4 linked regions of the Saccharomyces cerevisiae S288C genome follow. The gene in region 4 interacts genetically with the main gene of each other region. Each region holds a gene or a part of one and is shown on either strand. Other genes may lie near its edges. The genes, in order: CTK1, PRE9, BLM10 and RPN4.

Region 1 (3,628 bases), on a different chromosome or scaffold from region 4:
CGAAGAGGACACAAAGAATTTCAGGCAAGAGAATGAACGCTAACAAACAAAGGCAGTATAATCAGCTTGCACACGAACTTAGAGAGCTTCAAACGAATTTACAGGAAACGACAAAACAACTAGATATCATGTCGAAACAATGTAACGAAAACTTGGTAGGCCAATTGGGTAAGGTACATGGAAGTTGGTTGATAGGTAGTTACATTTATTATATGGAGCAGATGCTTGGAAAAACGCAATAAGGCATAAGAGGTAAGACAGTTAGTGGCCAGGCTAATTTATAAGATGTGAAATGAGATGGTGTTGGTACGATGGACAAACAGCTTGCATAAAAAGACAACCAAGTTACGTATAGTGAACGAGTGAAAATAGGCAAACCTTCTATTCACTAGGCCGCTTCACATGAAATTAGATGTTCGTATCATATTTACGGGTATCGCGTAATAAATAAGTTATTAATCTATTTTTTGTGTCTACTTATTTCAATTGGCTATATATCCTTATTTATCATCATCGTCATTATTATTATTATTATTATTATTACTATTACCATTACCCTTATTGTTTGTGTTGGTGGATAGTATGTTAGGACGCTTTTGTTTTCTTGCCAATTTGACTTCATATTCGTGGCAACTTACCAATCCATCAAGAACTAAAGGTTCAGGCTTTGGTTCTTCCTTGAAATAGTCGCTTTGTAAAGCTTCGGTTGCACTAAACCTTTTCGTCTGATCATAACATAACAAATTAATCGCCAATTGCAGACATTTTGAAGATGGTAAAACGCTTTTAAATTTCTCAGAAAAATTGTTGACATACTTGGTAGTTTGCTGTGGCATAATCATAAAAAACCACGGCATATCGTAAAGCGTTGGCCAGCTATTTATTGTAGGAGTTCCCATAATCTTGAAAATTGATTCTATTTGCTCTAATTCATTAGAGCCCTGGAAAATTGCAGTTTTATTGAATAATTCCACCAGGAGGCAGCCACAACCCCACATGTCAACTTCTGTTCCATAATTTGTAGTTCCCAACAATAGTTCTGGTGGTCTGTACCACAACGTAATGACACGGTTAGTGTAATCAGCTCGCGAATTCATTTTCCTCGCTAGTCCAAAATCTGTTATTTTTAGATTCCCCTGGTTATCGATTAAGATGTTTGAGCCTTTAACATCACGGTGTAAAATCTTATTATCATGTAAATATTCCATTCCTAATAGCAATTGTTTGAAGAGATGTTTGCATTGTGAGTGAGAAATTTGGACTTCCTTATTTAATAGTAATCCACTTAAGTCGTTGTCAGCATATTCAAATATCATATATACAGTTTTTTGAGATTCGACCATTATTTCTTTTATAGTAGAGACATTTGGATGATCAAAACTTTGTAGTAGTTTAATCTCTCGTATAGAGGTTATGGGAAAGCCTTCCCTCTCTCCTTGTAATCTCAATTTTTTCAGCGCTACTAACTTCTCTGTATTCGTGTTTTTTGCCTTGTAAACTTTACCATATGTTCCTTCTCCGACTTGCATTATCCTTAGGTAAACTGACGTGCTCCTTTGCTGCGTTAGAACCGAAACTGGAACTTTCTTAGCTATGACAGACCGCCCTTCCTGGCCTTTGTGGTTATAGTATTTTGAAGCATGATAGCCATTTTTTATATCATTACTAGTATTGGATGAATTATTATATCTTGATTTCTCAACAGATTTGGGCCCCTTTGGCAAATGAGACAGGAATTCAGCCTTTGTTTCATCCCTTTTTATGCTTTTAGGCCTATTTTCATACGACGTATTATTATTGTTGTATCTTGAACCTTGATATCTGGAACTTGTTTGAAAGGATGTATCGTTATAGCGAGATAAATTATTGTTACCACGACTTTTCGTGTGGCCTGGTTGGTCATTTGAATTTACCCTATGAGAAGATATATTGTCCATATTCGACTGGTAACCACTATCAGTCCGTATTCTCTTTGGTGGCGGTGGTCTCGCTAGGGACTGAGGATTTGGCGACCTCTTTCCGAACAAGGGTCTCTTATTATTTCTGCTATAACTCTTTGAATAAGTATTGCCATTATTGTAGGACATTGTTACCAAATAATTTATGCTGTATGGTCCCTGTGTTATTCTAGTGCAAAGAATAGTGCTAGAATTAGTTTTATTTACAAATAGGTTTTTTAAAAGTACTAATGGAACAAAAAAAGTCCAAAAAAAGCTAATATGCACAGTGAATAAATACACTGATAAGACCTTCTCTTTTTTTCTAAATGTATTTTACTGTCTGAACCGTCCATTTTTTAACATCTCATTGGCAATCAATATGTAAAGTTACCTTATTATGTAGAGGTTTTTCTCTTCCATCAGTGAAAAAAAAAAACGAAAAAAATAGAGCTTCACGTGACCTTTTTAAGCCAAATAAGAATAATGCTAAAAGGAAGTTAATTACTTTACTAATTTCCAGTATCCACAAGCATGAGGATATTAAGGACTTCTTATGAAATCCATTTATTGTGTATAAAACGTACGTATATTCTTTCTTTAGTTCATCGATTTTTAGATTAGCGCTAATATTATTATCCTAGACAAAAAATAGTTTAATAGGGTTTCTCTCGCATTCTTTTCATTCTTTATTTAGAGCATCCAGCGCAGTTGTCGAAGAGTTGGCATCTAGTTGTCGTAAATCTTTGGATGATTCCAGATAGGCACTTAACCGTCTTTGCTGCTCCTTATGGATTTGATCTTCTGTATCATCCTGGTGCTCATTTTCGTTGTCCTCGTCTATGGCACTAGTAGAAAACACTCGTCTTAAGAACCTTGAATTGTCAGCATTGTGGACCTCATCCGCTTCATCAGCTTGTACAGACAACGGAGAACGGTCTGCCGAGTGAGTTCTATAACTGAGACCATGCGTTGGATGAGTTGTCTTCCATGTCGTGCTTGGTAATTCCTCAACCAGACTTGCTGATGGTAGTAACTGGTTAGTCTTCACTGAAACATTACCAGGGTTAAAAAATTCAATAAACCTCAAGACTTTAGCAATGACCAAGGTATCGGCATCTTTGCCCCAAATCAAATCCAGGTGTTCATAATTGTCAACTTTAACATCAAAGACGGAGTTGAAGGGTAGATTTTTTTTCATCACATCAATATCAACTAAAGAATCTATGCCACCATAAATTAAAAGAATGGGAATCTTGATATTTGTTCTAGTAGGAAAATTAGCAATTTGGTAAGGCCTAGTTAAGGAATTTAGCATGTTATCAGACTCTTCAAACATTTGAAATTTCTGAGATCTTAATATTTGGAACCAGTGAACAATGGATTTTACACTGGTCGTTGAATAAAGTTTTGCGTAAGAAGCAATCTTTTGTCTCGGTAGAATGTTAAACGACTTCCAATTGAACAGTATCTTGTTTGCGATATCGATACACAAATTGAAAAGTGTTGGATGTAAAGTTCTTTGCCAAATGACAGCTGAAGGTAACACAATTTTCCTACCAAAGAAAAGATACATAAAGCCGGGCGATGATTTGGCCAAGGTATCGACAATTCTGTTGTGCAACCCCTTTGGAGTCATAGCGGGTGCTATGGCTATAAAATGGGAGACTTTTCGATTCAATTTTTCACTC
Region 2 (4,284 bases), on a different chromosome or scaffold from region 4:
GTATTTTATCACCTGTTTTCAATGACAAATCTCCATCTTGTTGAGCTTCAAAATCATATAAAGCTTCAACGTACTCTTCTGTATCTGCATTTTGGGGCGATCTTTGGTTTCCATCCCATTTCTCAGGTAACTTGCTATTGATTAATTCGAAAATGTCGCCTGATATGACGTTTGATTCCTTCAAAAATTCTAATTCATTCCTTATATTTTTCAATGATCGATTCACTAGTGACGCAGACATCGCTTTTGTTTATTTTTGAAGTGCTGCCAAAATTAGATTGGAGTTAGAATCCAACAACAAGTAGGCCAAACGAGCAGGCCCTTTTTTATATTTGCCTCTCGAGCGATTCCGATCTTGAAATTTGCGCAAAAAAAAGTTTCTTCAGCCTTCCCCCGAAAGGGGAATCTTAGCGATTTTTTTCTTTCACTTTTAATTTTAGAGATATGTTTCTATGCGTACATATTTATATAAGCATGAAGTCAAACAATACTTTCCAACCTTATTTCATATCTTCATCAGCTTCTTCGTCTTCATCCTTCTTGGTAATACCAGTCTTTACCAATATATCCTTTATCTCTTGAGGCTTGAAAATCTTCTGATACACTTCTCCGTCATTAGCACCCTTTCTGATAGTAGCAAATTCCAACCTGTCATAAGTCAGCGCGCTACTGTCGGTAGTTTTGGATAACGTTTTTAAAGCCAGTTCAATGGCATCATCGACTTTCATATCATCCTTGTAGTCCATTTGAAGTAGGGTTTGTGCTGCTGATGTGTTAGCGCCAACACTAATAGCCTTCCACCCTGTATAGTTTCCCGATGGATTAGATGTATACAATTGGTAACCGTATCTATCGTCATAACCGGCGTAGATAAAGGACACACCAAATGGTCTTAAACCACCATGTTGCGTGTAACCTTGTTTTATATCACTTAGCCTTCTCACCAAAATTTCTACTGGTATATCTTCATTATAGGTTTTAAGGTAATTTTGAGCGTGAATTCTAGCCGTATTTATTAGAATTTCTGCATCTGCAGTCAGTCCAGCAACGGCAACCGCAATTTTATCGTTTAACTTATAAAGTTTTTCGGTAGAGGTGTCTTGTTCTAGTAAAGTACTTGTGACTTTGCGTTCTGCTGCAAGAACAATCCCATCAGATGCCATAATCCCAATTGCGGTACCTGCATGTGAAATGGATTCTAGCGCGTATTCAACCTGATATAGACGTCCCTCAGGGGAGAAAATTGTTGTCCTGGAATCGTATCTTCTGGAACCCATGTTTAACACTACTAACTATATCCAATAATCAATTATTAAAATAGAGACTGATCGAAAACTTTTTATAGAAAGCAGTCTGTTCTCTTCGCTCTGCCAATGTTTCCTTATTACATAGATATCCATCTTTTTATGCTTTTATTCTATAAATTTTTTGCCACCTGCAGGGTAACGAATATTTAACTGCCTCAAGATGTTATTACATGGCTAATTGTCATTAAATGAGGATGCAGAGAAAACATGAGCAATTCACTGCTCACTCACTGTCTCCAACATCGAGCTCTGCGAGTGTTATATATTCATGAAGTGGGATAGGCTTATCGGCTTTGGGCAATGGCAAAATCTTACCATCGTAGAACACCACCCTTCTTCCTGGAGGGTTCACCTGGGTGTCGAAGGAGTAATCAGCGATAAAACTACGCAACGTGTTAATAGGGGAACTATCGTCTTTGTTTGCAGGCTTTGAGGGAAACAGGTTTAACAATTTCAGATTCAGTTCAGAAGCTGGCTTAGCGTTTAGCTTCTTCTCTATGTCAGAGTTCTTCCTGCCCTCATGCTGCATAGTATCGGCACTATCCTCTTCTTCCATGGCGAGCCTTGTCTTGATCTTAAAGAATAAATCTTTGGCTTCAGGAAGGATGCCAATCCATGTCATCAGTAAAGTTTGAAGCTCAAAAGTGCATTCTGATTTGGTAAAAAAAAACTTGTCGTTCGCGATGAGTGTCTGCACCATGTAACAGATCAACCTAACCAAACCAAGGGAGTACAAGGAGATTTTCTCGCCGTCTTCATTCTCTTCTTCGTTATTTTTTGATGACAAAAAAATAGCAGCATTCATAAAAAACTCCTGCAGTAACATTTTAGTCTCAATATCAGATAATACGATAGGTCCTTGCCTTGAAAAGGGAAGTCCTGAAGCATCTTCATTCTTCTGCTTTTTCTTCAAGATCTCATATATCATATCATCCTTTTTATCTTGATCACTGGCTTCTCCGGAAAACGGTTTTCCACGTAACCCCATTATTAGTTCAAAAACGTAATATATCAACGAATGTTTTAACTCCAAATGCGTAAGGAACCATATCAATATTCTCCTATAACCGGTGCACATTAACATTTCATCCATTAATCTCCACGCAACGTCGTGATTCACGTTTAGCATCCTTTCAAATGCTGATTCTTCAGACCATATTTCATAAATATCATCCGGCGTGGTTCTTCTGAGATCTTCATTATCTATCTTGGACATTTTGGTATTTCCTTCACCTTCTACATCGCCGTTTATACTTGCGGAAAAATTAGACTCCAGGTCTGCTAAAATCATTTGGTCCTGCTCGTTCCTTACACACGATGCAACTGAACGCACTAACAATATGGATTCCTCCTTATTCAACTTTTCTGTTGCGCCACGTAGAGTCAAACTAAATATGACATCTAACTTAGGCTCATGGATGAATGAATAAGATGGCGAATAGTACATATTGAAATCTCTGGGAACGTCCCTCCAATCTTCCCCACTATAGTCAAATTCAAAAGTACTTCTTGATCTAACGGAAAGTGGGTTAGGTGACGTAACGACGTGATCAGAAGTGGCTGTAGTCGCGTTATGTACCGCATTCCTATTATTATGCATTGCGCCTTCAACGTTTTCGCTATTTGTTGACCCAAAGGCTTCATTTGCACCATCCTCTGCCACCAACTTATCATCATTGAAGATGCAATTGCACCGTCTCCGAAAGAAAACATTATTACTACCAGATGCTATTTTTTCTGTTGGGTTAACAACGCTTTCATCCAATCCTCCATGATCGCTTTCAGAGAAAGATTCATCATAATCTTCACATTCATAATCAAACATATATCTAATATCCTCATCAAATCTATCACCTGACTGTAAATCGGCAAATAAATCTGTTACATCTTCGATGCTTGCTCCAAGCGCAAGTAGAGATGCAGTATGTGACCTTAAATCGGCATATAAAGCACCATGACACAATTTTCTTCCATAGGGCGACATGAATGTGTTTAAAGACTCGTGCTTGAAATCATGATCATTATTTTTCACTAATCCATTGAGAACGGTAGCTATTACAGACCTCAATGCTGCGGCTCCACGAATTGTGGCGCGAACCATAAGCGGCGTTTCGTAAGTGCCATTCTCCTCTTCAATTCTATCAATTTCTAAGGCTAAAAGTATAACACAGGAGAGGTTTTTCCATAAGGATATTAATGAAAATAAAAATGGGTTTAGTTGTATAGGTATTTTTTCATACAACTTGTAGATGGTATATACCGCCAGTATATCAATCATATAGAGTAATTCCAAGTCTTGTGTATTCAGGCCATGCGGTAGCCATCTGTGAAGTTGCGTCTTCCAATGAACTGCATTATCTGTATTGTTTACCGAGTTTAATATATCAAAATCAAAGCAGTTGAGCCTCAACATGGTAGCATCAATAATTTTTTGCATGTTAAAACACATATAAAATTTCCAGTCATAATGGTCGTTGTGTTCTTGAGAAGTCTTGATCGACTGAGACATTAATCCCAAAAAAAGCTGAAAAAGAAAGTCTATCGATATAATATGCTTATCATTGGGAGTAGGCTGCATTAATGGATCTACTAAGCCACATAGCGTAGAAAATTGTAGTTCCAATAATGGCGTCAATACCGTAGTGAGATTTAATATTTTAAAAAGAAGCTCGTGTCTTAGTAAAGAATGCTCCATAACGTTGGGTATTTCAAGCGTTCCATCTTGGTTCAGTTCGAATGAATATATTTGTTCCTGGTCATTTATTGTTCGGCCCATTATCGCCTCTCTCGGTTGTTTTTGATGATCAAAACGGCTATCGTCAAGGCCACTTCCAGCATTGCCTTCATCATTTTCCATTAACAGGCTAATGTTATCACTAAAAGTAAGATTTACTCTGTTCTCAGCATTAAAGGAATACCAGAAATAAAAATTTCGGCATTCTATCATTCTATTGTAATCTTTTAAAATTTTTCTAAC
Region 3 (8,925 bases), on a different chromosome or scaffold from region 4:
GATCATAGTTACACTAACAACTTACTTTTAGAGTAAAACTAATCAGCAGATAGCTCCAGCTATTTGTTTAGATGTACATATATGTCTAGATATGTGCTTAATATCCTATACTAATATGAATCAGGCATAGTAACTTCTCCATAGGACACCCTCCAGGTCTTCCAGTTCCTCCGTATTGAAAGATGCTCTATCGAACTTCCAAGTGTCGGCCCTCACCTTCTTGAACTCACTAATAGTATTTTTGGCAGCTTGTCCAGTCATACCACTAGTCCTGGCCCACGAGGATAAGTTGCTTAGTTGCTTGGGTATCCATGGCGGTAGGGGAAAAACATAGGGGAACGCTGATATAATAGCTCCCAAACCCAAAACGTTACCATGAATCTTGATATCCGTTTTGGATAACTTTTGTCTTTCTTTCGACGTGTATTTGTTGACGTCGAGACCCTTTGCAAATCTCTCGATTAAACTCAACAACGGCTGTTCCTCTTTCCAGTTATGGACGATATCAGACAAAATGGATGCCGCACGAACTCTCACCTCTACAAACTGTTCGTTATACAAATTGCTGACAACAAATTCCAAAATTTTGTTCTTTTCTTCCTCAGTAAGTTGAAGCAGTTCCGCTGATAAAAAGTGTTGGATGAAAGCTAGCTGTAGTTTCGTTTGGTTTGAAGATAGTGCTACATTTGACGAACAAACATAGTCAACAATGGCGGCAACATGGTTCTTTCTGATCGGCATATAGCCCAAGCCGGCATACAATCGAACAGGATCTAAACTGGCAAGAGCACAAACATCTTTATGTTTCACTAATCCGATCAGAAATGGTAAAACATAATCGACTAAATATGGAACTAACAAAACTTTATTAGGCCCTCTCGCCATTTCTTTGATCCAATAAAATATTGTGGATGTCCTGTAAAAATAGTCTGTCTTAATAAATTGTTGAGGATTCAGGCCGACAACGGAATCTTCCAGATTTTTAATGATCTCAAACTGCTTCTTAATATAGGCATCCACCTTTTCTGGGACGCTTTTTAATGGTAACCCTAATCCATCTGGATCATTCCGTTCTGCTTCTAATAATGTGGTTGGATCTGAAATTGACGGATTACTTTGATTTTGAACTAAGGTCGTCAATAGTTTAGCGACAGCCTGGCGAACCTGATCGTATGGGTGATCAAATACCAACTCATCAAATAGCTTACCAACATCTGGGGCTCTAAATTCCATGCTCATCAAGATACTTCTTAGCATGTAAATTTTGGAGGTTTGATGTGTGGCTGCATCAGATTCACGGTCAAACATGCCATCGGCGTTGATAAAATGGCAAAAAAAAGTTTTAGACCTTCTTAAATCAACGACTGCAGGCAACCACCATGCCAAGGTGCTCCAAATTTCAAATGCGTCATGGTTCAACTCATAATCTAAACATTTGGCTAGGAAGTTTTCGATAAAAGTGTCACGTTTGTCCAAGTCAGAGACTGACATAAACTTACTCCCGCAAACTAAGCCAGCCACTATCTCGACAGACATGATCATCGAAGCCTTATCGTCTTTGTTATAGTAGGATTCACATAGCTCAAAGAGATCCGACATATTCAGTTCGCAGAAACCAGATGATATCAAAAGGATTACTAAAGAGAAAAATGACACGTTACCACTACTAAAAACACCCCTAGTTTCATTATCTTGGACTAAATTCATTGTAACATCTCTCAGGAATTCTCTTGTCAATAGATGACCAGCTGTCTTGAGGACTTCCAGTTCATTCTCACGTAAATTGAGCTTTAAAGCTTTCGGCGACATGACGTACATAAGCCTTCCCCAACATAGCCACCCTACATACGCCCTCAAATCGATAAAATACTTGGGGTTATCAAAGTTATTCATTTCTTCAGTAAACGTTTTAGGGAAGCTTGTGGTCGAAGTGTCCAGTATTTCCACAAATGATGGATTGAATTCATTCTTATAGGCCCTGGTGATGTCATATTCATAGTCAGAGAGAGATATTATCTTGTTGCACGTCGACAACAATGACTTTACAACCAAATGTATGATTTCGGGATGTTTTGTGGAGATTTGGGAGATTATTGAAAATACTGCTCTTTTATCGGGTTTGCTTTCGAGGTTCGATTGGATTTGTGTAACAAAACGTAAAATGAACATTCTTATCTTCCACCCCATATCTTTTTCATTATCTAATTTGTCTAAAAGTTTGTCCTGCAAATCCACTAACAGAGAGAGGTAGTACTCACGCTTTTTCTTTTTGGCAAGCTTTACCGCTTCAACTTGCAAATTAATAGTACCATCAGGAGGTGCTAAAGGTAAGAAAGCTTGATCGGAAATGACACATACACTAGAAGGAATCTTGATCCCAATCACTATGTCAGTTAAGATTTTATCTGCATACATACCAATCTCTAATTCATTCACACGACAACATTCAATAAGCAGAAATATCAATCTGCCGATGTCTTTATAATCCGTCATAAGCTTCCTATGGATTTTCTTAATTAACAAAACATTTAAAATAACTTGGATTTTCATATAATCATGATCCTTAATCGCTTTCTCTAATGATGGAATAATTTTATTGATGACTACGCCATATGACCCAACTAATTGTTTCATACAGTGTACCAAAGTTCCCTGTGCTGGTTTATAAATATCAGGATAAAGGGATGTCGCTAACTGTATGATGTCAACTAACAATAGGTTTTCCAGCTTGGAAGCTTTTCTATTTGTTGAATGTAATAGAACTCTACTCTGGTGCAAACTGTTTGCTCTGATTGCAAAATTGGTTCTCGTGAAGGGCTCATTTACGTGTGAGAGAGATTGAACGTTTTCTAGGAAATCAACGTCAATGAAGGCATTTGGGTCTTCATTGAAGACCGTTTCTTGTCCCAGATCTGTGAACCAAACTTTCAATCCGTGCAATAGAATTTGGAACATGTTGGTGTTGTTTTCGAAGTTTGTAGATAAAAAAACATAGAGTTTGTGAAAGAAATGTCCAATGCGCGCTCTAACTCTGTGGACTTGTAAATATTGTGGGTTTTGTAACTTCTCCTCAGTGGTATTTCCGAAGTAATAATTACAGGTGTAAATATCTAAATCCCTGAAAGCTAGATCCGAACTCATAGCTGAATTGTCCGTGCCATGCGTCCCCGCGATAGGGGTATTTACACCAGATGGCATCTCAGACACTACTTCTTCATCAACAATTAATTCATCCGGAAACTCATCTCTTAACTGCACAACATCGGAAACTCCTGCATTCAGCCCTGCTTCAATGTCCTTACTCTCAATATAGTCTTCATCATCCTTGCCAGAACGAATTTGTTCAATATCAATATCCAGTTCTTGAGGGTCACAATTATTTTCGCGTATATTCTTTAATAAAATCAGTTTCTCTCTGTATGATAAGTTTGATTGCGTCCTATATTTGTTAAAATCTGGATCAAAAAGTAAACTTGACCCGGAAAGCGTATGTGTCATAACTAAAACATATTTTTGTATCATATCGCCATATTCGGAATCATGTCTTGGAGCTTTCATCAGTTCTTCTACGTTGTTAATACAGTATTCGGAAAGGCTTTCTAGAATGCTTATGGATAAAGTTATCTCGTCACTAGAAGGTACGTGCCACTGAAAACTCAAATGCTGTTTATCAAATCTTCGAGGATCGAACTGTAGTCCTCCCCATCTGTCTTTTTCCGGAATCTTAGAGTCCTCTGGGAATAGACGACAATCAGTTATTTCGGTTGTACATAGAGTTGCTAAAGCACTGTGAATAACAATAGATGTGATAACATCCAATGGCGGGTTAGTGACGTTGTCGTATAAATATTTCATGAATGTTATCAACTCATCGCTATACTCCAATAGAGATTCATGACATTGCCTTAAGACATCATTTAGTGCAGTTAAGTATAAAACTAACTTAACATCCCTCTGTTGAATCTCTGAAGTACTTCTTACAGACCCGGCGCCTCTTTTGATTTGTTCTTTGATATGGAATAAAAGAGTTCTGACCAACTCTTTACTCAAACCATTATTCCTTCTTACTAAAGCCGCTAGTGGGATAGTAACTAATTCATAGTTTGGATCCTTTTCCTTGAAGGAGTCATTACTCCAGAAGTTTCTCTGTAATAAAGAAGCAAAATAATTAAATATTTTATCGTCCATAGACTCTTGTAAAATCATAGTTGTTTGGTTTATTTTAGTAACCAAAGAGTCCTCTAAGTCTACATCAACCAATTGGAAAATTTTTTCTACGTATACTTTTAGCATACTTTGAAAAACTGTAGTGGAAGCTTTGAAAGCGTTATTTAACAGTTCATCATCAACTCGGAAGGTCTTTGAACTTTCGCCACACTTAATATGATAAAAATGTTGTTGAACTAAAGGAAGAGTATCCGATTCAAACGATATATAATCGTCCTCCCCAGTGAGGTCTTGGATAGGAATGAAAGCGGCTATAGATACAATACCGTTGATGAGGTTGCTTGTCAAATTAGTATCGTTCATATCAAGTTTGGAGACCAGCATCGAAAGGACGTTTGTTATGTGCACGCGATATAGCTTATCCATCACAATAAACCGAATTACTCTTGTAAATTGTTTCAAAGAGGAAATGATTCTGTGTCTCGAATTGATAAATTGGTCAGCCAGCGTATCGTACAAATCTATCAGTATTTTGTCATAAATTAAATATGCATTTGAAGGATCCAGCTCTAACAGATATGCGAAACAAGAGATGTAATAGTTCGCAATATCAGGATTTTTATTCTGTGAACCCAGACTGATAATATTTAAGAATATTTCAACTATCTCTTCGTGACAAAAAGAAGTTAAACATATCCCATTTGTGACGCCCCTAGCACAAATATCTTCTTCATATTTGACCCTTCCGTGGTAAGACTTTATAAATGCATGAACGAATTTAGCATTTGGCTTGGTCCAAAACCCATTATTAGAGGGATGGATAAATGTTTCGATTGCTTTGGCTAAACTTACAAGTTTTTCAAAAAACCTATCTTTTTTTGATCCGTTTATAGCATAAACAAAAGGCTTCACTGTGCGGGAATACGAATGTATTTGACCGTCTGTTCTAAGATGGCCTTGTAACCTATTGAACATAAAAGTCATTTGATCATCAGTAAAAATCCCGAATTCTCCAAACTCCACTCCAACTACATCCTTTTCATGCTCGCTACTCAAAATCTTATTATGAACGTCTTTGGAAATTGACCCAACAAAATCATACATGTGAGTGTCGATGGCCACGTTTGCGCTGACTGAGCTCCAGATGCTATAGCAAAACGGGAAATAATCGATGATCTTAGAATGGATATGATAATGATAGGGCACAACGGATGTAACGATAGGCATGACAGCCATCATAGTAGATGGTGCAAGACTAGACAACAGAAAATTCATCGTATCAACTAACAAACTTTCCTTTGACTTATCGAAAAATGGTTTTGCATTATGTGCATGCTTCAAAAGTAATCTAAATAACTGTAAATCTTCCTTTGATGATAATTCATAACGAGCATAGTCGGGATCTGGATAAGGTAGAAATTCGCACAGGAAATTGAGCATGATTTGATGATCTAGCAAAAGACCTTGTTTTTGCAACAGTTCAGTGAAATTTGTCCTATCATCGTCAAGGCTTACTAATCTTTCGAACATATCGACATGCATTTGTCTATACACCTTTTGGCCCTGAACAAGAGACAAATAATAATAAACTGTCGCTAGCGACTTTCTTAAAGCTACTGGAAAATCAAAATGTAGACAATTTTTGAGCTCATTAGTCCAATGGTTTACATTCACAATAGTAGCTGATTTAGCTGTGATTTTTCCGGTAGCATTAAAGTCGGGGCCTGCTAAGTCGAAGTATTCATCCAATTCGTCCTCCAGGCCTTCCGCATCGTCATAATCAGCAATATCGTTACCAAGTAAGTCATTCTCCGCTGTGTTGTTAGATAACCTGAAAAGATCGGTTTTAAGAGCTAAATCATCCACTTCTTTCTTTAAATCAGCCAGATCTTTACTGGAAATAGAAATCAAACCTTGTATATCTAATGAGCTGATCGCAATATAAAGATTAACTAAGACATGGCACAAGTATTTCGCTTGATCTTCATGACTTTCAGTCTTATATGGTAAGAACTCTTCAATAGGAAATTCAGGCCTCACGGATCTGCTGAACCAGCGAGATGATGGGTCATATATATTCTTCATATGCTGGGCCCTGTCACTAACATAATCCAGCGTATAATGCTGTAGCCTTTCATTCAAAAGGGAAGTGGAATCCATGCCATTGAACAGTTTTTGGTCCTGTAGCGTTGGGGTAGCAGACCTTGCTCTTAGCGGAGAATGTGGTCTTCCGTCTGCGGCATATAGCCTAGACTTTTTACGTTTTATCTCGCCCTGAGAAGAACTGGGCCTTCCTGGACTTCTCTCAAAGCGCTTCAATTGGGATAAGGTCTTGTTAGTAATGGGAATGGGTGATTTGATATCATCGTCATTGTTAGCGGTCATTGGCGGTAACAAATCGAAAAATTAATGTGCAAAGCTAGCTAACGAACAATGATAAAGTTTATGTATGCAAATACAGCTACAATATTCAATGTTCTTCTCGTAGTTTTTGCTAAGATCTAATGCAGCTTTATTATCAAGCCCTGATGACAGACTTTGCAAATATCGTGTACTTCTCCACTGGTAAGAGATGAGAAAGAACTTAAAAAATTCTTTTCTAAGGGATACCTCGGCCGCCACCCACCACAATTGGGTTACCCTGGAAAAAAAGTGACGTTATTAATATTATTGTTACTATGATATTGCACTAGCTAGTTGACCTATATAGATATTATTAGTTATTTGACGGGTTATAGCAGAGGTTGGTTTCATAGATTATTCTGCGTAATTGCTCAAGTCCAAAGTTATGATCTTCGACGAGTTTTCTTGTTGCTGTCTGTAAACCCCAACGAGAGCGTCAGATTTTTCAAACATGGTGTTCTTCAATGAAATGACAATGAATTGGAGATCTGGATTACGGTGCCTTCTTATATAGGCAGCAATTCTCTGGACGTTAGTAATGTCTAGGGCTGCGTCCACTTCGTCCAGCACGAAGAAGGGACTAGGCTGGTAGGAATTAATAGCAAATAATAGAGCTAATGCAGCTACGGTTTTTTCACCACCAGAAAGATATTCCATGTCTTTGAATCTTTTAAGAGGCGGAGTGGCATGATATTTGATTCCCGCATTGAACGGTTCATCTTCGTCTTCTATGGTTAAAGAAGCGTTACCACCGGCCAATTCCACATTGGAGTTGGGATTTTTAGTAAGTTCCCTGTAGATTGCGTCTAAATGGTCGCTCACATAATCAAATGTCTTTTCGAACAGTTCCTTTCTTTTTTTCTTAATTTTTAGGAACTGGTTTAATATTTTCTTTTCTTCGGCCTTTAGTTGTTCTGTTTCGTTATTAATCACTTCAAACCTTCCTTCCGCCTCGTCGTATCTCTCCAAAGCTCTTGCATTGGGCTGCAACTCGTTCAATATTTCCTCCACTTCATGAATCTTCTGCTCCAGCTCCTTCCTTGCCGAATCGGTATTGTTTTCTTTGTATTTTTTAGGTAGTCCTTTATAGTTTATATCGATACTGTTGGAAATTGTAATTGCTTCATTATCAGTGGAAGATATTGGTAAATCATCTATCGTTGTTTCAGATGATATAGGTATATTTATATTAGAAATTTTACAATTCTTTAACGCTGTTACTCTCTCTAAATCAAACTTTTCAATATCTTCCTTTATACCGTCTCTTTCCCTTTTTAAGACTTGTAAGTTGCTGTTCATGTCCTCTAGAATATCTTCGCTGGAATTTAATTCACTTTGCTTCGTTACAAATTTCTTCTGTAACTCATCTAAGTGATTTTTGTGTTCTTCCAATTTAGACTCTATTGATCCGATTTTCATTTCTATTGCATATTCCTGTTCTTCCAAAGACTTCATTTCAACTTGAGCATTCTCTAAATCCTTTTGCGCCTTTTCATATCTTCTTTGAGTAGTACTTAGTCTGTCTGTCTCAAACTGCAACTTATTTTCAACGGTCAAAATTTGTTTTTGTAACTGCTGTAATTCTTTAGATTGTTGTCTCATCAATTCACCGGAATGATTTTCATATTCTTTGATTGTAAAGCCAATTTTACTAGTGAATTCTTTGAAAATATTATTTTGTAAAGCCTCCTTCTCTTTCACTAAATTATCTTTAGTATTTTCTAAATCATCTAGCTTCTTCTTTAGTTCAGTTATCTTCGGTTGAATTTCTTTCTCTATCAAGTCATTATGGTACTTAATCTCTAAACGATTTTCATCCAAGGAGCGTTTTTGTTGTGTTACTTGAGTTCTCAAATTTGCTATGTCCGAGTTCAATAGTGAAACACTATTTTCAACTTCTCTTGCTCTGATTGAATTAGAGCGTTGACCGTTGGAAAGTTCATCGATTTGGATTAGTAATTTGTCTTTTAAAGACATTAAGCTTTGATATTCTTCTTTATCCCACCTATTATTGGCATCTCCTGATATACCACCTGTCATCAAACCGGCCTTGTGGATCAAAGCACCTTCAATTGTAACCAATTTGCCTCTTATGCCCTTTTTCCATTTCAGATCTTTAGCAATATTCAACGTATTACATATGATGGAATCGCCACACACATATTGCATCGCTTTTTCATATTCCGGCTCGTAGTCAATAGCATTAATTGATAAAATATAGTCTTGTGAGTCAGGCAATGATAATGTAGGTAACTCTGTCTCAATTGTGTCTAGTGGTATGAAAGATGCAGTGCCCGCACGTTGCTTCTTCAAAAATGCAATGCATTCTTGAGCTACGGTTAAATTTTCTACAAT
Region 4 (4,587 bases):
GGTAATCCACAAGTTGATAACCACGGTGAAGTGAACGTTGTCAATCACACAACCGGTGATCATTGCAAGTTGTATTTCAAAGCAAGGGGATGGAGGTCATCAGGAGCATATGAAATCACAGGCGAAGTCTACAACAAGAAAAAACAGAAGGTGTGGATCCTAGGAGGACACTGGAATGAAGCTATTTTTGCCAAGAAAGTAGTAAAAGATGGCGATCTCTCGTTGGAGAAAACTAGAACCGCTGCATCAGCAGGGAATGGGCCTACGGATGACGGAACGAAGTTTTTAATATGGAAGGCAAACGACCGTCCTGAGGAGCCATTCAATTTAACACCTTTTGCTATCACGCTGAATGCTCCACAACCACATCTATTGCCATGGTTACCCCCCACAGATACACGTTTGAGACCAGATCAAAGAGCAATGGAAGATGGGCGTTATGACGAAGCTGGTGATGAGAAATTCAGAGTTGAAGAAAAGCAAAGAGCAGCACGCAGAAAAAGGGAGGAAAATAACCTTGAATATCACCCACAATGGTTCGTCAGGGATACTCATCCCATCACAAAAGCTAAATATTGGAGATATACGGGCAAATATTGGGTTAAAAGAAGAGATCATGATTTGAAAGATTGTGGTGACATTTTTTAACACGCCTTTTTTATGCGAGCTTTTTTCCTGGTACTTGTATGTATTTTGAATGTATTTTATTGTACTGAATTGTATTTTATTCTACCGCACATTTGTTTCTTTTGGCATATATAGTATGTTTACTTAACAATAGGGATTTCCTTCAGTTTTCCTAGATGTATCAATTTAGTTATCTTTTCGAACACTTTGGTTATGTCACCATGGTCAGATGACCATATTATTTTGAAATCCATATAACCAATTACAAAGCAAGCAACAAGCGAGTAAATAAAATCGTTAGGCGGTTACCATAACCCTTCGTTACGACGCTAAAGTGCTATATAATGCCTCCATTACGGCTGCGATAGAACTGTGCCTAAATTAGCGGCAGAGGTTGAAAACCAATCATCACTAACGTATTCAATATTAATTGTTGAGAAAACCAACTACGGATTGTTATAGAGATCAAACTATATGCACTGAGAGGACGTTACTTCTTTTTTTACTACCTTTCTGTTCCTGTAATAACAAGTTCCGTGGAACTCAAAGAAAGGTGCCTCAGCCCGTACGAACCTTTCCACGGATAATCACGTGATCGCTATTACTAATAGCCGTTTACAGTGATGGTTCTAGAAAGTTCCGTTTCGGCGAAACTTGTTGAGGAGAGCAATTCTATATAAGGAAAGAATAGTTCGAAGCCCAATTTGGGGAAAGCCCGGGATGAGCAGCCTAACCCACACGGATAATTTTTTATCGTTCAAGGAGGAGGATACGTTTTATCTCTAATATAAATTAAAGATAAACCCGAAACTCTTTTTTCTTCTTGGCGTGGAATATTTAAGGAGTAGATCAGTTCCATTTTGTTCATCCTTTTCTCCTCAAGGAAGAACTCCGCTTTTTAGTTGAACTAATAGTAGATAGTACTAATAGCTAATTTGTATCTTTTCAAAAGTTTTCTAGAATTTTCAAGCAATCATGGCTTCTACGGAACTTAGCCTAAAAAGAACCTTAACGGATATTTTAGAAGACGAGTTGTACCATACTAATCCAGGTCACAGTCAGTTTACGAGTCATTATCAAAACTATCATCCAAATGCTAGTATTACTCCATATAAGTTGGTGAATAAGAACAAGGAAAACAACACTTTTACGTGGAATCATTCATTACAACACCAGAATGAATCGAGTGCAGCTTCGATACCCCCACAACAAACCTACCATTTCCCGATATTCAACAAATACGCGGATCCTACTTTAACTACCACCACCTCTTTTACGACTAGTGAAGCAACGGCCAACGATAGACAGATTAATAATGTCCATCTCATACCAAACGAGATTAAGGGTGCTAGCGAAACCCCATTGCAGAAGACCGTCAATCTAAAGAATATAATGAAAGTATCAGACCCGTATGTACCGACACGGAATACGTTCAATTATGATGTTAAAATTTCCAACGATTTTTTCGATAACGGTGACAATCTATATGGTAATGATGAAGAAGTGCTTTTCTATGAGGATAATTATAATCCGAAAATGCAGTGGTCACTTCAAGATAATAGCGCCGCAATAAACAATGAGGATGCGAGAGCTATTTTTAACAATGAATTTGACTCTGATGACGACGATATCAGTGATGATGAAGAGGATGAAATAGAAGAAAATTGTTTGCAACAAGAGCAACACCAAGAGGAGCCTTTACTGTCATTGGATGTTACACCAATCTCAATGTTTGGCTCAGATCAAAAAACGGGTCGTGCCAAGAGTTCTAGTCATTTATTTAATGAGTACAGTTACGTTGACTCTAACATGGACAGCATTTCCAGTGTTGTATCTGAAGATCTGTTAGATGAACGGGGACATGAGAAGATAGAGGATGAGGATGAGGATAATGATCTTGATGAAGACGATATCTACGATATCTCTCTCTTGAAGAACAGAAGAAAGCAAAGTTTTGTCCTCAATAAAAACACTATTGATTTTGAAAGATTTCCATCTCCCTCAACCTCGGCAAACGTACCGTCTACTGCTACTACCGGTAAAAGGAAACCAGCAAAATCATCCAGTAACCGTAGTTGCGTTAGTAACAGTAATGAAAACGGCACATTAGAAAGAATAAAGAAGCCTACATCAGCTGTAGTAAGCTCAAATGCTAGTAGGCGGAAGCTAATTAATTATACTAAGAAGCACTTATCTTCACATTCATCTACAAATTCGAATTCGAAACCTTCGACTGCATCACCATCGGCCCATACGTCATCTTCTGACGGTAATAACGAAATATTTACGTGTCAGATAATGAATCTCATTACAAATGAACCGTGTGGTGCCCAATTTTCAAGGTCCTATGATTTAACGAGACACCAAAATACCATTCACGCTAAAAGGAAGATTGTCTTCCGTTGCTCGGAGTGTATAAAAATTCTTGGATCTGAGGGCTATCAGAAGACGTTTTCGAGACTGGATGCTTTAACAAGGCATATAAAATCGAAGCATGAAGATTTGTCGTTAGAACAACGTCAAGAAGTTACAAAATTTGCAAAGGCTAATATTGGTTATGTCATGGGTTAATTAAGGTTACAAATTATATAGGAGATAAAAGAAGAAAACCTCACACAAAATGGAAATACATATACACATCTATATATATTTACAATATATATCATATATCTGCATTCAGGAATGTTCTTATAAATATCACATTTTTAAAGTACCTCATTGGACTTATAATAAGTTTTCTATTGGTTTTCATTATACTTCGGAAAATACACAATTATATTATATACTTACCCCCCTTAAGGATTTTTTATGAAACCCTCATTACGGACTTTCTCAGCATTGATCTTAGCAGATTCAGGATCTAGGTAGAATTTTCTGATAAACTTAAGACCATTATTCTTATCTAATTCAACGACTAAGGGGATACCATTTGGAATATCAACATTCTTGATGTCATCATCTGATATACCCTCCAGAATTTTCAGTAGCGATCTCACTGAACTTCCATGGCCCACAATCAGGCATGAAGATTCATCATATTGATTGGCTAATTTTAATATGACATTTTGTAGAAAAGGATTCAATCTATAAACCACTTCACGAAGAGATTCGGAATCCGGTAATACAATGTCATGATTGCTGCATTCCAATTCATATTTTATTTGTCTGTTTGGCTCCTTGAATTCGTACCCAGTAGAAGAGCCCTTCTCATTTTCTTGTTGAATCATCTCACGGTCAAGATCTACAGGTGGTGGCTTACCCTCGTAATCTCTCCTAATGAACATATATTTATCCTTACCATATTCTTTTAAAACATTCGGTTTCCTCTGGCCCTGCCAGGAACCGTAATGACGTTCATTTAGCCTCCAAGTTTGAAGAATCGGGATTTTCATATTATCCTTGTCATCACTGCCAAATTCGTCTCCAAGTTTGATTTTATTAAAGTCGTAAACAACCTGCAGTTGTGGCTTTAACTTAAATTCTTCACACATCGTTTCTATGGTCTGTTGGGTCCTAATTAAACGTGAGGTGTAACCAATCTGGGGTAATCTCAAATTATTAGCTTTACAATATTGTTCGATTAGCTCGGCAGAATGACGAGCTTGTTCTTTACCTTTTTCGGTTAGCTTAGCGTCAATCCAACCACAGAATATATTCTCGTGATTCAATTCACTTTGTCCATGCCTTAACAAGAACAATGTCATGACATTGGATGGTGTGCTTGCAGTCATTGTTTACTAAGTTAATATATCTATATTTTTTTTATGTATTCTTGGGTTTAAATTGAACAACCTCGTATTTGGATGTGTGTCTCGAAACACTTCTACGTATATATATAAGCTACTTTGGATTCAAAGATAATTTTGTCACGTTTGTTCTGGTGGGAAATTTCAGCCAAAGGGAAAAAAAAAGAAAACGGTGAGCTCCGTATTATCTTCGTCGTGGGGTGATAACAACATG

What was found.
Region 1: mutations in RPN4 (region 4) and CTK1 together harm fitness more than expected from each alone (negative genetic interaction), as found in Saccharomyces cerevisiae (5 studies listed by BioGRID, with this or other methods).
Region 2: mutations in RPN4 (region 4) and PRE9 together harm fitness more than expected from each alone (negative genetic interaction), as found in Saccharomyces cerevisiae (7 studies listed by BioGRID, with this or other methods).
Region 3: mutations in RPN4 (region 4) and BLM10 together harm fitness more than expected from each alone (negative genetic interaction), as found in Saccharomyces cerevisiae (5 studies listed by BioGRID, with this or other methods).

Annotation. Positions count from the first base shown.
Region 1 is NC_001143.9:181,417-185,044, reverse strand, and holds CTK1 (cyclin-dependent serine/threonine protein kinase CTK1), read right to left. Parts: upstream 2,088-3,628; coding exon 501-2,087; downstream 1-500. Other genes in the region: HSK3 (Hsk3p), read left to right, coding at 33-242; TGL1 (sterol esterase), read right to left, coding at 2,620-3,628. UniProt on the Saccharomyces cerevisiae protein: Catalytic subunit of the CTDK-I complex, which hyperphosphorylates the C-terminal heptapeptide repeat domain (CTD) of the largest RNA polymerase II subunit.
Region 2 is NC_001139.9:758,385-762,668, reverse strand, and holds PRE9 (proteasome core particle subunit alpha 3), read right to left. Parts: upstream 1,278-4,284; coding exon 501-1,277; downstream 1-500. Other genes in the region: LSB1 (Lsb1p), read right to left, coding at 1-241; CCR4-NOT core subunit CAF130, read right to left, coding at 1,531-4,284. UniProt on the Saccharomyces cerevisiae protein: The proteasome degrades poly-ubiquitinated proteins in the cytoplasm and in the nucleus. It is essential for the regulated turnover of proteins and for the removal of misfolded proteins.
Region 3 is NC_001138.5:121,106-130,030, reverse strand, and holds BLM10 (proteasome activator BLM10), read right to left. Parts: upstream 6,553-8,925; coding exon 121-6,552; downstream 1-120. Other genes in the region: cohesin subunit SMC1, read right to left, coding at 6,925-8,925. UniProt on the Saccharomyces cerevisiae protein: Associated component of the proteasome that specifically recognizes acetylated histones and promotes ATP- and ubiquitin-independent degradation of core histones during DNA damage response.
Region 4 is NC_001136.10:413,724-418,310, reverse strand, and holds RPN4 (stress-regulated transcription factor RPN4), read left to right. Parts: upstream 1-1,602; coding exon 1,603-3,198; downstream 3,199-4,587. Other genes in the region: oxysterol-binding protein related protein OSH2, read left to right, coding at 1-648; phosphoglycerate mutase family protein GPM2, read right to left, coding at 3,423-4,358. UniProt on the Saccharomyces cerevisiae protein: Acts as a transcriptional activator of a number of genes encoding proteasomal subunits. Binds to a PACE (proteasome-associated control element) DNA sequence 5'-GGTGGCAAA-3'.